Drosophila melanogaster: one gene and its partner. The protein of the gene in region 1 purifies or fractionates together with the protein of each later gene. This does not show direct contact. Each region holds a gene or a part of one and is shown on either strand. Other genes may lie near its edges.

What was found. The genes of interacting proteins can lie anywhere in the genome.
Region 2: the proteins of mael (region 1) and msps purify together in Drosophila melanogaster (affinity purification with western blotting; one study listed by BioGRID). This does not show direct contact.

What each region holds. Positions count from the first base shown.
Region 1 is NT_037436.4:22,721,758-22,728,543, reverse strand, and holds mael (maelstrom), read right to left. Parts: upstream 4,312-6,786; 5' UTR 3,979-4,311; coding exon 3,859-3,978; intron 3,814-3,858; coding exon 3,615-3,813; intron 3,559-3,614; coding exon 3,002-3,558; intron 2,940-3,001; coding exon 2,427-2,939; 3' UTR 2,310-2,426; downstream 1-2,309. Other genes in the region: CG11367 (uncharacterized protein), read right to left, coding at 1-133; CG14450 (uncharacterized protein), read left to right, coding at 828-1,012, 1,067-2,000; CG14451 (uncharacterized protein), read left to right, coding at 6,503-6,786. UniProt on the Drosophila melanogaster protein: Involved both in the piRNA and miRNA metabolic processes. As a component of the meiotic nuage, plays a central role during oogenesis by repressing transposable elements and preventing their mobilization, which is essential for the germline integrity.
Region 2 is NT_033777.3:16,048,308-16,055,677, forward strand, and holds the start of msps (mini spindles), read left to right. Parts: upstream 1-2,493; 5' UTR 2,494-2,869; intron 2,870-3,570; exon of another isoform or gene 3,571-3,609; intron 3,610-3,767; 5' UTR 3,768-3,837; coding exon 3,838-4,526; intron 4,527-4,581; coding exon 4,582-4,652; intron 4,653-4,716; coding exon 4,717-5,036; intron 5,037-5,095; coding exon 5,096-7,370. Other genes in the region: IKKbeta (I-kappaB kinase beta), read right to left, coding at 1-504, 914-1,013; CG5013 (uncharacterized protein), read left to right, coding at 1,481-1,609, 1,661-2,275. UniProt on the Drosophila melanogaster protein: Binds to the plus end of microtubules and regulates microtubule dynamics and microtubule organization. Function in neurons is essential for adult survival, and is important for climbing behavior and activity.

The DNA of each region.
Region 1 (6,786 bases):
CCTGGATCAGCTGAGGGAAGGCGGGTGCGGTGGAGGCGGGCACTGGCTTCTGCATGATGCAGTTGGTATCATTGTTGTTCGAATAGCCGTACGTGGTTTTGTTTTTATAGTTGTTGTTATTGTTGCATGACATGACCAGGATTTTCTTTTGGCCACAGCTCTGCCTTTCTCCGTTTTCTTTTCCACTTGTCGCTGTGAAATTTCACTTTTATGCACCCACATTCGCGCAAATACAGAGTTCTGAGTTTACGGTCGCATGTGTGTGCTTTGTGTCACATATGGCAAGGCAACCGAGTCCCAGAAACCGTTGTTGTTATTGTCTTAATTCAATTAAAATTACGAATTGTATTTATTGTTTATATATGTGCCACAGCCGCTCAACAATCGACGTACGACTGCCCACTCGACGTTGACGTTCCGACTGGAACTTCGAGTTCCCGCAGCGAGAGTGAAAGAGAATGTGAGAGGACAGAGAGCGTGCAGTGCTGCGATTTTAGCATTTTTCTTTAGCCATACTATACGGACTGCTCCAGTTTCTTCTTCTTTAAAAATTAATTAATAATGTGATTTATATTATATTTATAAATTATTTCCTTTGTAGTTTTACCTAAAATGTATAATGATTGCTGTGTGAAATACATGCCTTTTCTCTCATCTTTTTCACTTAACAATTAGTTGCTATAAATTGTTTGTAGCCGTCGATGGTGTAGCATTGTATATCGATTAATTAGAAAAACTGAAAAAATGAGCTTGGTCCCACTAACCGAACAGCTGTATAGACGATATCAAATTAAGTAACAACAAATATAAATCATATACTGGAAAATATGTTGTGCCGGCGATCATTGTTGGGCGTAACGACAAAATGCCTAAGACTTTCGTCCACGCAGCAACACAGATCGGGTCAGCCGGAATGTGACCAAGCCATCGGCCTCTTGCCCGCCTACTCGGATGCAGATCGTTTGAAGATCTTGAAGACGATTAATGAAAGCAGCATGAATCAGATAGCCAAGTAGGTAGCCACTCCTGCACTTTGCCTTGCACAAATACTGATTATCCCGCCCAGCTACGACATAACCAAGGCAAGGGCAACCAAGCTGCAAAACTGGAAGAACCGTCACGGACCGCTGCAGGAACTCAGCGACATCCTGTATGTGGAGGGATTCGGACTGAAGGTGACCACCAAGTTCTTTAAGAGTCTGCTTGCGCCGCCGAGCAGTGGGAGCGCACAAGTAGGGGAAAATAGACCAAAGACTGCACGAGTCGCGCCCTTTATAACACCGGCCATGGACGAGGGACAGCGTTCACGTATTGTATCTGCTGTAGGGGTGCGCATCGGAGTGACCAGTGTAAGCTGGGCGCGATTAAAGATCGGAAGCAACGAAGCTCCCTGTCTGCTCACGCACTGGCAGCACCATGAGCTGAACGACAAGAAGCTGCATTTGTCAGAACTTTCCCGCCGATGCCTCTATGTATCTCACCAGATACCCGTGGCCGATTGCTACGTCATGGAGAGTCCACAAATGGCCCAGGCCAGCAGCAACCCAGGGAGCATCGATCAACAGAACGTGAACATCCAGAAGGCCCAGGTTTCCGCAATCATGAGCTTCTCCTTGATGGCCCGATCAGATGGCGACGAGAACAAGACGAACAACGTCTACTACATGCGACGTTTTCTCTCAGCCCGACTATTTAATCACATGGTGGGTACTGAGCGCGTGTCGTCCGAGGATACGATATTGGCCATGATGCGAACCCATTACAACGTGGAACATCAGATCCCCGAAACAGAGCCCCCGTTGAAGCTGCACAAACAGATCGACTTTCCCGCTGACCTACGCCTCGAATTCTCACAACAAGAGCGCTACCAGCGCGAGCTTCTAGGCCAGGCACTTCTCCTCAGCTTAGCCTTTACTCGTCTCGTGCTTCAGCAAGATCCGCAAAGCATTGCATCTGTATCTCGCAACTCTAAAAACTCCTCTCCAAGTCGAGCCACTTAAAAAGCTACAAGTGTAAGAATATGAACTCGACTCTTTTTGGCCTTTGCACTTTGTATTATAATGACCCGTTGAACAATTTTATGCACAATATTTAACAGGGGTTTTAATAGGAGCAGTTTCTAATGGCACAACTGCATTTCCATGGAATACCATAAACATAGATTATTTTGAGCTTGGCCCCACTTAGCTAATTAGAATTTGTCGCCATCAAAAATATCATGTCTTTCTTTCATTACTGCCCACATATTAGGTCTTAAAAATATTTATTTAGCAGAACTAAAATAAATAAATACTTGATGCTGGCCCTGTCCGTTTGAACGAATTTATTTTTAAATACAAGTAATAGTATTTGTACAGTTTAATGCGATAAGAAAATTATCTATAAGGAATCATTGTTTCTTAGTCCAATTGATAGACCAAAGTGGCTTATTTTTTAAGTTTCCCATCAGCGCCGTTTACGGAGAAGTCGTTGTCTGAAACCTTCCGAATTAAACGCGAGTGCGTCGGTAAGTTCCTAGCGTTCCATTCCCGCTGAGCACTAGCGGCGATACCGTGATGCTTACTAGAATTACGCATGCCGAGGCTGGGGAATTCAGAAACTTCGTTTAAATTTGCGGCAAAGGAAGTGTGGTCTATGGGCTTGTAGGAGCTTGATGCGACGGAAAGTCGACTGCTAGAAAGCGAACAAGCTTCGGGTTGGCTTTCCTTCTTGACCCCAGATCCGGGAAGCGAATAAAAAGAGTCGAAGGAGGACTCGTGGTCGAGTGAGGAGGCGTACGAGCTTATGATAAGGTAGTTGGGTTTTGTTTGGGCAGGTATGTGCTTTCCGGGTTGGACGGTTATGGCCAGGTCTCCGCACATAAAATCAGTGAAGGTATACGCCCATCTAGTCACCATACTCTGGGTACAGTACTTGGTTCGATCATTATCCTCGTGGTACTGCAAAAGTAATCAGGAAGGAAGTCAACTAGGGGTTATCAGAATTGGGAACAGAATCTTACCTGACACGCAATCCCTGCGGTAAACTCGAAAAAGTCTTTCTTAAAAAAAGCATCCGTCGCGAATTTGTTGATTTTCTCGTCATTCAAATCAGCGACATTCATGACCTCCTTCTTCAATATGAATAGCAAGTACTGGATATCAAACACCTGGATTTTTTCGCCCCCGTCCCTGAAGTCATCATCGCACTCCAAATAGCGGAAGCATGACTTCACCATGGTAATATTTTCGGCGGGTGTAAAGACTACTAGGGTCTTGCCTTTTCCCTGGCATTTGGATAAGTAGTCAACAATGTTGCGGTACAGCTTGGTCATGTTCTTCTCCCCCAGCGCGTTGGGCGGCAGCGGCAGGTCGTGAGTGGTTGAAGAGTGAAGCAGGGCATCGCTACCTTGCCCAAAAATGATCTGACCGGGGTCAATCATGGTGCTGTAGATGGATCGGATTCCCTCCTTCAACGAATATTCGCATGCCGCAAACTCGGCGGGCACATAGACGTCGGTGGTCAAGGCTTTAGTGAAGTAGTTGAAGGCAACGAAGACAAACTTGGCATTCTCCAGATCTGCGGCAGCGATTGGAGTTAGTCGAATCCAAATGTCTTCGAAATGTGTGACTTACCATGGGACATCTTGGCGTTTAGCACGAGGCGCTCGATGGTACGTTTCATGTCCATCAAGCTCTCGGTGGCCTCCCTTTGGGCCTTGTCCACCTGGCCGTGGCCGTTGGAACTTTCCCTTTTGGCGCGTTGCGCCACATTTGCGTCCTTGCCGCCTGAGTTGTACGGACCACGCTGCTGGGTGTTCATTTTCTGAAAAGGCTTCATTTATTACAGGGTAGATCCGCAGCATCGACCAAAACTTACCTCCCATATGGTGCCGCAGTGGGAAACAGCCTGCGCCAGCGTCATGCGTCGGCCCTCGGCGTTCCGGTTTCTCCACTCGTTTACGAACATCATAAACCCACTATGCTTCTTAGGAGCCATCTTTACGGGCGTGGCAAGAAGAAGGTCGGTATTTTTGACGGGTAAGGGTAGGTGTTGAGCGCGTGTGCGAGCGAGGTAGCGACTAAAGGCGGTAACCAATGAACAGCACGAGCAATTTATATGAATGTTGTTTGTATGTACGTCTGACCCTACAGAAATGGTTACTTCGGAATGTCGCGGGTGGCTTCTCTTCTGGCTTCTCTCACGCACGATTGACTTCTCTTCCAATGATCTGGTCTGTGGAATATATCACACAATTCTAATGAAGTGAAGCAGTTGTTTTGTCAGACGTCGATTCCGCTGACACTTCAAATATCTATTATTGACTGTTTTGGCGTTGCTGAGCACTAGTATCATTCCAGAACTATCGATTCTGGAATGGAATAAGAGTTTGTAAATTTATAATTAATTTATATTTATAATATAATAATTTATATTTCATAAAAATGGTTTAATCAAACCTAATAGCATAATCATCTATCGTCATGCTTTGTAATCGTATGAATAAACTGCACTTGCAGTTAAAAGCAGCCTAATTAAAGATAATACTGCTTATTTATAAATCAAATGGTCGACCATCGAAAACTAAAAATTTTTTAAATCGAAATTCTCTTTCGTAAAACTACAGTGTAAACAGTTGAGTCGAAAAATTGTACATATGTATGTATATCCACCCACAAAGTCGATGTGCTTTAGGTCTATGAAAAATTCTTTCTTGGAAATGGTTTGTTTAATGGTAAAGTAATAATATTGTTTGTATGTATGAACGATTTGTCTGAATCGGTAAATTCATGCTGAATATGAAAATGGTTTGGTCATCACACCGTTTTTGGTTAAAATGTTGTTGTTAAAATGATAAGCATAATCATTTAGAAAGAACTTATTATACCCGTTAACCGTAGAGTAAAAGGGTATACTAGATTCGTTGAAATGTACATATGTAAAAGACAGAAGGAAGCGTTTCCGATATACAGTAAAATATATACATATATATAGTAAAATTAGTTGTTATATTTTTTATTTGAGTCGAATAAATGCCCCGTCAGTTGACTAAGGACAACGCTAAGAAATAAAAAATGATCGGAGAAATAGTTTTAACGTTTTAGTTTTTTTAAGAGTAAAAATCAAATGCAAATTGAATTGAGAGAACCCTCATTATTTGAACAATATTTGTATCTCGGGAGAGCCTCGCTCTTGGGTTCTTAAGATAAGGAGAAGGTTCAAAGAGAGCAGTCAAATCGGCTTATGTCAGGTTTTAGGATGTTTACAAGAACGGCTGAGTGCCGCTGCCAAAGAATTCTTTATTAGAAACGGATGCTGCGCAGCTGGGATACATTATGGAAAATCAATTAAGTGCAATACTGTTTTAATTGAAGTGGCCGGTTTGGACCACCCGAATACGTCACTATATGTATATATTCATGATCAGCATCAATAGCCGAGTCGATCTGGCTGTGTCCTTCTGTCCGTATGAACGCCGAGATCTCAGGAACTATTAAAGGTAGAAGGTTAAGATTAAGCATACAGATTTTAGAGACAAAGATGCAGCGCAAGTTTGTTAACCCATTTTGCCAAGCCCACTCTAGCGCTCACAAGCCGCATAAAACTGTCACGATCGCACTTTTAATAAATGTGTTGATATATCATCACATTTTTAATAGTCTAGAATTCGTCCAGTAAAAGTTATACTAGATTCTTTCAAAAGGTACAAGCAATTAAGATTAAGATCTCTTGGGCCGCCTGTCTCTCAGTAAGAAATGTCTAGAATTCAGGAAGTAGAAGGTGGATATAAAGTATTCTGCTCTTAATTTTTGTTTAGGAGCAAGAGGGCGGAGAACTCTACAGCCATCAGCTGTTTTTACGCATCCAGTGACAACCGACAAGTGCATCTGTGCACATTTTACAATAGAAAGGTCGCATATTTTTATTTATTTTATAAATATTAACTTTTAACTATGTATGTTTGTATTATTTTTACAAAATATATTTTTAAATATGTATTTTCTCATTTTGTTAAATTTATGTTTTAAATTACAAAACTAATAATTATAGTTCTAGATAGCAACTTTATTTATAAGTTGAAATATTGATGAAATTAATGTTAATGCTTTAAAAAGTATTGCTCACAGTGCCCTGTTGAAATTTTGCAAAAAAATTGCCAAAAACTCCAAATATGTAGAATATGTATGTAAATTTTCTTGAATGAAAATTTATTTCGGGCCGAAAATCGTCTTCTAGCACAAGTACGCACACATATACAATTTCTCGTTTGTATGGTCAATGTATGGCCGTCACGCATCTTTTTATTCTAATGTATTTGGTCCTACGTCATTAGGAATAGCTTAATTAAAAAATTGATCAATTATGCACTCTAAAATTTAGAATATTGAGGCATTACCAATCAAATGGCTATACCTAAGATATTTCAATTTACCATAAGGGCCTTGCACAAATTTACCCAACACTGTCGATAGCTCGGCGCCATATCAGATAAGTTTTACTATGGAAATAGGAGAGCGTGGAAATGGAGAACAGGAGGTGCACCGTCGTTGCCGTGGGTGACCTTGTGGATGAGCTTGGCTTCTGTTGCGAGTGGTGTGGCAAGGTGTACAAGAGTCTTGTCCGCTACCACAACCACATTGTATGCACCCACAAGTTACCTGTTCCGGATCACCAGTTGGTCAACTGCTTCCACTGTCCACGCAGCGATTGCAGATTCCACAAGCATGGACCCGGAGTACAGAATTTTCGGCAAATTGGAAGGCTCCGCCGCCACTACCAGGAGAAGCACATGACAGGACACCTTAC
Region 2 (7,370 bases), on another chromosome or scaffold:
TTTCCACCACTTCTGGGGCATAGTAATGTCGGGTGCCCACCACGCTCTGCACCATGGTCTGGTCGGGAGTTCCTCGGGCGAGTCCAAAATCGGTTAGCTTATAGATTTTTTTGCCATCAACTCCACGTTGGATTACTATATTGTCCGGCTTCAAATCGCGGTGGCAAATCCCACACTGCGAGTGCAGAAAATGTAGGGCCTTACGTAGGGCTCCCAGTATCTGCCGCACCTCGAACTCCGTCAGACCATTAGCATTCTCCGGGCTCTGCAGACGCTTCCTCACGTCTCCACCGTTACAGTATTCCAGCACAATAACAGGCAACTTGGCACTAAACATGCCATTCAGGTACTCCAAAAAGTCCGGATCCTCGATGTCCACGCCAGCCACAATATGGGGAAAGTTTTTAAACTGACGAGACCAGTTCAGCTCCTTGTTCCAACGCTCGCTGAGCTTGACTTGCTGATCGGCACTCAGGGCCCCCATCTCCTTTATGTGCTTGGTGGCTATGTGGAAAATAAATAAACACTTAAGACTGACGCTTAAAATATCTGCCATATCGGCTAACTCAGCCGAAAGGCTATAAGCGACATATCTAATGCGGAGACCACACCAAACGCGCAAAACTCGAGCCCTCTATCACTATCAGTGGACCACCCGGAAACGCATGCCTCAGCTCGGTTTCTGGGAATTGTTGGACAACAAACATGTTCATATGTATATGTATGTTGTTTTTATGGTTTTATTATTTGGATATATACAAAATACAACAAAAAATTTATTTATTTATGAGTAAGGCTGGAAAGGGGGAGGGTGTTTGGGGGCTGGTAATGTGTGTTTGCGAAAAAGAAAATCCTTAAAATATTTATATGTATATGTATATTAGTGTTAGCCCATAAGGTGTTTATAGCTCACCAATTTCACGGCCCGTTGTTCGGTTTCGCCAATGGATCACTAGGCCGAATCCGCCCTCTCCCAGATTCCGGCACCGCTCCCAGTTCCCAAAAGAGTGCATCTTGTTGTTTTCGTTAAGCTTTATTTTATTTACGGAGCTCATTCTTCCAAGAATCTGAATCCCTCCATGGCAATCGGAAAAGCAAAACACCACAGTGATCATACAAGATTTGCGATATTCGATTGCTTATACACTAGTCATCGTTCAGCAGCAATCGCGGTCACGAGAATTTTGTTTAGAGGAGCGCTCAGCTGCAGCCACTTTCAATTGGGATGCATACCTTTAAATAAACTGGACGAATTGGGATACCCAAAAACGTTTTTAATTGAAGCTTAGAAATGGTGGCTTAAAATGTCAACTGCTACTGAAGTCACCCTTCGGTCACTATTTGCTTCACTCGCCTCAATTTTTATCGATTAAGTTATCGCAACGAAGTGACATCGCTAATCAAACAGGTTGTAAACAAAACGCTGAAAAATAACTTTAGTTTAGTGAAAATAGTAATACTCCTGCATGCTTGAGCTAAGATGCGTTTCCACATGAAGAGCGGCAGCGAGGACAATGACATTGTGGCGGCCACAGCCACTGCCGAGCATATCCGCAAGTTTGTCTTCAGCGGATCACCCGCCGAGCGACTGGAGATCAAAATACCTGAGGTAATCCTTAGAACCAGGTGTTCGTGTAGTATCTAAAGTGTCCGCCTACAGCTGCTTCAGGGTGCCTACTCCTTCTACACATGGCCTTGCGCACCAATTTTAGCCCACTTCCTGTGGGAGCGCCGACAGACACTGGCGGGCAAGCGCATCCTGGAGCTGGGAAGCGGCACCGCCCTGCCCGGCATTCTGGCGGCCAAATGCCGCGCCCAAGTGGTACTTACTGACAACTGCATTCTGCCCAAGTCACTGGCCCATATCCGAAAGTCCTGCCTGGCCAATCAACTGCAGCCGGGCGTTGATATCGATGTGGTGGGCCTGAGTTGGGGCCTGCTGCTGAACAGCGTGTTCCGACTGCCGCCTCTGGACCTTATCATTGCAGCAGACTGCTTCTACGATCCCAGCGTGTTCGAGGATATCGTGGTCACAGTTGCTTTTCTGCTGGAGCGAAATGCCGGGGCCAAATTTATATTTACATACCAGGAGCGGAGCGCCGACTGGTCCATAGAGGCGCTGCTCAAGAAGTGGAAGCTGCAGGCTTTACCCATCAGCATGGAGGACATTGGCAAGGAGTCGGGAGTGGATCTGCTGGAGTTTATGGGCGGACACACTATTCATCTTCTGGAGATCACGCGCATCGAAAGCGATGGCTCAATAAATACAACATAACAATTATACAATTGGCTTTTTTTATGCTGAATGTCAAATCTCTCTTAGTTAATGTTCTACACGGGAATGCTCCCAAACATCAAATAAATATTTGCCTGTGGTAATCGCTTGAAATCAATGTTGGCCAAATATTTGGAAATATATGTTTAAAATTTAGCGCGTACCTATCAAAGTTTTCCACCCAGCACACTAATTCTAGGTTTTAGGGGATGCTAGAGTTGTGAGTAGCGGTCACACTGGCGCAACGACGCTGTTGGAAAACTGCGAAAATTATTATTTATTTACCTACCGCGAAACCAAGTAAATTCCGCTGCACAAAAGAGGCTCGAAGTGCTGGAAACGTAGTTAAGTTATTGTTCATTGTTGCTACATTACTTGGCATCCCGGAAAGACCCCGTCGGTGTGTCTTTGTCGAATAAGTGTGCGTGCTTCTGTGTTGTGCCGTGTGTAAGTGTTGGTACGTCGTCGCCTGCGAAAAATCGAAGTTATTGCATTGCGCAGCCCTTTCAAGCCGCTGTCCCTGGCCAGCTGTAAGTCCCGCAGCTCCTCGCCCAGTCCCCGCTCTACGGCGGTACTTGGATCACAATTCTGATGGTGAGTGTGCTAGTGCGTGTACCGGAATGCACTCGGATGCATCGCGATTTTGTTCCAGGGCGTCGCAATTTGTTTGTCGCTAAAATGGGCGATATGTGCTTCATCTGCGGCTCTCAAGTTGCAGCCACTGGAAATTGATAGCCGCTGCAACCATTGGCGGTTGGGTGGAACGGTAAACGACGGCATAATCCAGACACACAGCCCACAGGAGAAACATTTGTTGTTGCCTGCGGTATGATCCGTTAATTCGAACTTGAGAGCGTCGGTGTGCGTGAGAGCTTGAAAGAGCGAAATCAAGAGAGAGGAAGAAACAAAGCGCGGGCATATCCGAATTGAAAAATGCTCTACTCAAACGTGAGCACAGTAGGAGCGCATCAAAACAATATTAAAGAGACAGATGCATGAATAATAAATGGGAGTGATGGAAAATCCACGCCTGATTCAGTCGCAGGCTTTCGTGTGCGTGTGTCACCTTTTGTAGTGGTTGTGCGGGGGGTATTTGCCGTGCCCCTGATTAATTGACTGAAAAAATAACGCGCTATTCAGCGACATGATATCACCCATCCTGGGTGACAAGCCCACCAACCTTTTCCGAAAATCCAAATTTACACTCTCCTATTTCTGCTTCTGTTTGCCAAATAACTGCACTTAGAAAACGACAATCTAAATATGGCCGACCCATTTACTTTTTTCCGCCCCTCGAGCGAAACGGATGGATGATTCTGCTTCCTTGGCCATCGGTATTTCATAGACTATTAAGCTCAATTTTAAAACATCAGCTCGATGACTCCTGACATCCGGAATAGTTCTGCTTCATTGGAAGCTTGGCTAGTTTTTCTTTTAAGAAAAATTCGATTAAAGTAGCTTTTTTATACATATTTATCTTTTTGTTTCGCAGAATGCTGCTTGAGGCTGTTTGCGACTGAGACCATTGAGGAGAACCCGAGTAGCGTACGAAACACGACACAATGGCCGAGGACACAGAGTACAAGAAGTTGCCGGTGGAGGAGCGGTGTGTCCATAAACTATGGAAAGCCCGCGTCGATGGTTACGAGGAGGCCGCAAAGATCTTTCGCGAGCTGGATGACGAGAAGTCGCCGGAATGGTCTAAATTTGCAGGGCTCATAAAGAAGATGGTAGTGGACTCTAATGCTCTGGCCCAGGAAAAGGGTCTAGAAGCGGCCCTCATTTTTGTGGAGAACAGCGGGCTGGCGGGACGCACAGTAGGCGACGTGATGACAGGCATCGTTCAGAAGTGCATTGCGGCGCCAAAGACCAAAACCAAGGAGCTCTCCGTCCAAGTGGCTCTAATGTATGTGGAGATAGAGAAGCAGGAGGCCGTCGTCGAAGAGCTGGTTAAAGGTATGGAGGCCAAGAACCCTAAGATTGTGTCTGCCTGCGTGGCAGCCACCACACTGGCCCTCCGCGAGTTCGGACACAAGGTGATCGGCGTCAAGCCGTTAATTAAAAAGCTTGCTCCGCTAATGTCTGACCGAGACAAGACGGTCCGAGATGAGGGCAAGCAGCTGGCTGTTGAGATTTACCGTTGGATCGGAGCTGCAATGAAGGCACAGATCTCAACGCTACCACAGGTAACGCTAAAGGAGCTGGAGGATGAATTCGACAAACTCAAAGGTGAACGCGTTGAACCCTCCAGGTGTGTTCAAGGATTTCTCTCTATCATTGCCTAGCTAAACCGCTCTTACTTTTAGATATCTAAAGTCCCAGCAGGAAAAGCAAGCGAAGATCGCCGATGCTGCAGCGACCGAGGATGCATATAATGGTATGAAGCCCTCGATATTACAAAAGCAGTGAATTATTGATTTGATTTTGGTTTTCGTATGCAGAGGATGATGGCGAGGCTGGCGTTGAAGAAATCGATCCTATGGATCTTCTAGACCCCGTTGACATTCTCTCCAAAATGCCCAAGGACTTCTACGATAAGCTGGAGGAAAAGAAATGGACTCTGCGCAAAGAATCGTTGGAAGTCCTGGAGAAACTGCTCACTGACCACCCCAAGCTAGAGAATGGCGAGTATGGAGCGCTGGTAAGCGCTCTTAAAAAGGTTATAACCAAGGACTCCAACGTAGTCCTCGTTGCAATGGCCGGAAAATGTCTAGCCTTGCTAGCCAAAGGATTGGCAAAGCGATTCTCAAATTACGCATCCGTAAGTAACTCTCACCTTCTTCCAAATAACGTGTTTTCATATGTGTTCTTCTATTTCAGGCTTGTGTCCCATCCCTGTTGGAAAAATTTAAAGAGAAGAAACCTAATGTTGTGACAGCGCTGCGTGAAGCTATTGATGCCATATACGCCTCCACTTCTCTAGAGGCCCAGCAAGAGTCCATTGTAGAGTCCCTGTCCAACAAAAATCCAAGTGTTAAGTCCGAAACGGCCTTGTTTATTGCCCGTGCCCTAACCCGCACCCAACCAACCGCGCTAAACAAAAAGCTGCTTAAACTTCTGACCACCAGTCTAGTGAAAACGCTTAACGAACCAGATCCAACCGTACGCGACAGCAGCGCCGAAGCTCTTGGTACTTTAATAAAGCTAATGGGAGACAAAGCGGTGACTCCTTTGCTCGCCGACGTCGATCCACTCAAAATGGCCAAGATAAAGGAGTGCCAAGAAAAGGCGGAGATTAAAATAAAGGTTGCAGGTCCAAAGAAGGAGACACGACCTGCATCTGCACCGACTGCGAAAGCTGCTGCTCCGGCTAAGACAGTGGCTGGTAGTGTGGACCCTAAGCCAGTAACCCGACCGGCCACTACAGGGGCACGTAAGGTCTTGAAAAAACCGGCGACGGTTAGTGGAGGAGGAGCTACATCTGCCCCAACTGCAGCTCTTAAAGCGGGTGGAAAACCCCTAGCCACGGAACGCGAAATAACCCCCGAGGAATTGCAAGAAAAATCCGAAGAAATTCTGCCAGCCGAAATTCTTAATGGGCTGGTGGATTCCAACTGGAAGAACCGCCTTGCTGCTGTGGAACAGCTTCTGGGCGAAATAAGCGGTTTTGATGCAAAACAGGCTGGCATATCACAGATCCTGATCCGAACAATCAGTGGACGAAAGCCAGGCCTCAAAGAAATGAATTTCCAGGTACTCAAGTTTAAGCTAGACATAATCCGCAGTGTGGCTGAAAACTATCCACTGACCACGACAACCGTTGATCTGGTGATTAACGAAATAATCGAGAAGCTAGCAGACGCCAAGAATGGTGCAGCAGCTGCAGATGTTTTGTCTGCCTTTGCCGAAGCCACTAAACTGGAGTATGTTGTGGGCAAAGTATTGAGCTTTGCTTTTGAACAAAAATCGCCTAAAGTGCAATCAGAGGCCTTTAACTGGGTTAACAGGTCAATCATAGAATTCGGCTTCCAATTGCAGCCAAAGACACTTATTGAAGATGTACGAAAAGGCGTGCAGAGCACGAATCCAACGGTTCGTGCTTCCGCCATTCAAATGGTAGGCACCATGTCTATGTATATGGGCAAAGCTCTAATGATGTTCTTCGACAGCGAGAAGCCTGCACTAAAGTCCCAGATCCAGGTAGAGTTTGACAAGAATGTGGGCGAAAAACCACCCAAGCCTGTTAGAGGAGTTCAACGTAGCAGCGGTGGAACCGCTGGTAATTCCCCAGACAATGAGGACGATGATGGTGGGGCAGCCGGAGAAGAGGAGCCCATTAATATGGCTGATCTTCTACCACGCGTTGATATTGCTCCACAGATTACGGAGGCATTGCTGAAGGAGATGTCCGACAAGGACTGGAAAACTCGCAACGAGGGTCTGACTAAGCTGCAGGCTATTATTTCAGAGGCGCGGCTAATCAAACCCAGCATTGGCGACTTGGCTCCTGCTCTGGCCCACCGTCTGGTAGATTCCAATGCTAAGATTGCCCAAACGACACTTGCCATTTGCGAGCAGCTTGCCACAGCCATGGGGGCTGGTTGTCGAAATCACGTGCGGAACTTGTTCCCTGGCTTTTTACACGCTCTGGGTGATAACAAGAGTTTTGTAAGAGCCGCTGCCCTCAATTGCATCAATAGTTTTGGCGAAAAGGGCGGCTATAAGGAATTTTTTGAGAGCGAAATGATAGCCGATGCCCTGAAAGGAGGATCCCCAGCTCTAAAGACAGAATTGTGGGCTTGGCTGGCAGATAAGCTGCCTGGTCTTCCCCCCAAGTCAGTATCGAAGGAGGATATCCATTCAATGGTGCCGCACTTATATGCTCACATCTGCGATCGAAACGCCGATGTCCGGAAAAATGCCAACGAGGCGGTGTTGGGCATTATGATTCACCTTGGATTTGATGCAATGAACCGCGCTCTGGACAAACAGAAGCCCGCGTCCAAAAAGGATATACTTGCAGCACTCGAAAAAGCGCGTCCTAATCTTCCGGTAAAACCGCTGCCCAAAGGCAAGCATCAGGCTCCAATACCTGAGGAGCCGAAGCTAAAAACAGTGCGCGGCGGTGGAGCAGGTGGTGCGCCTGGAATCCAGA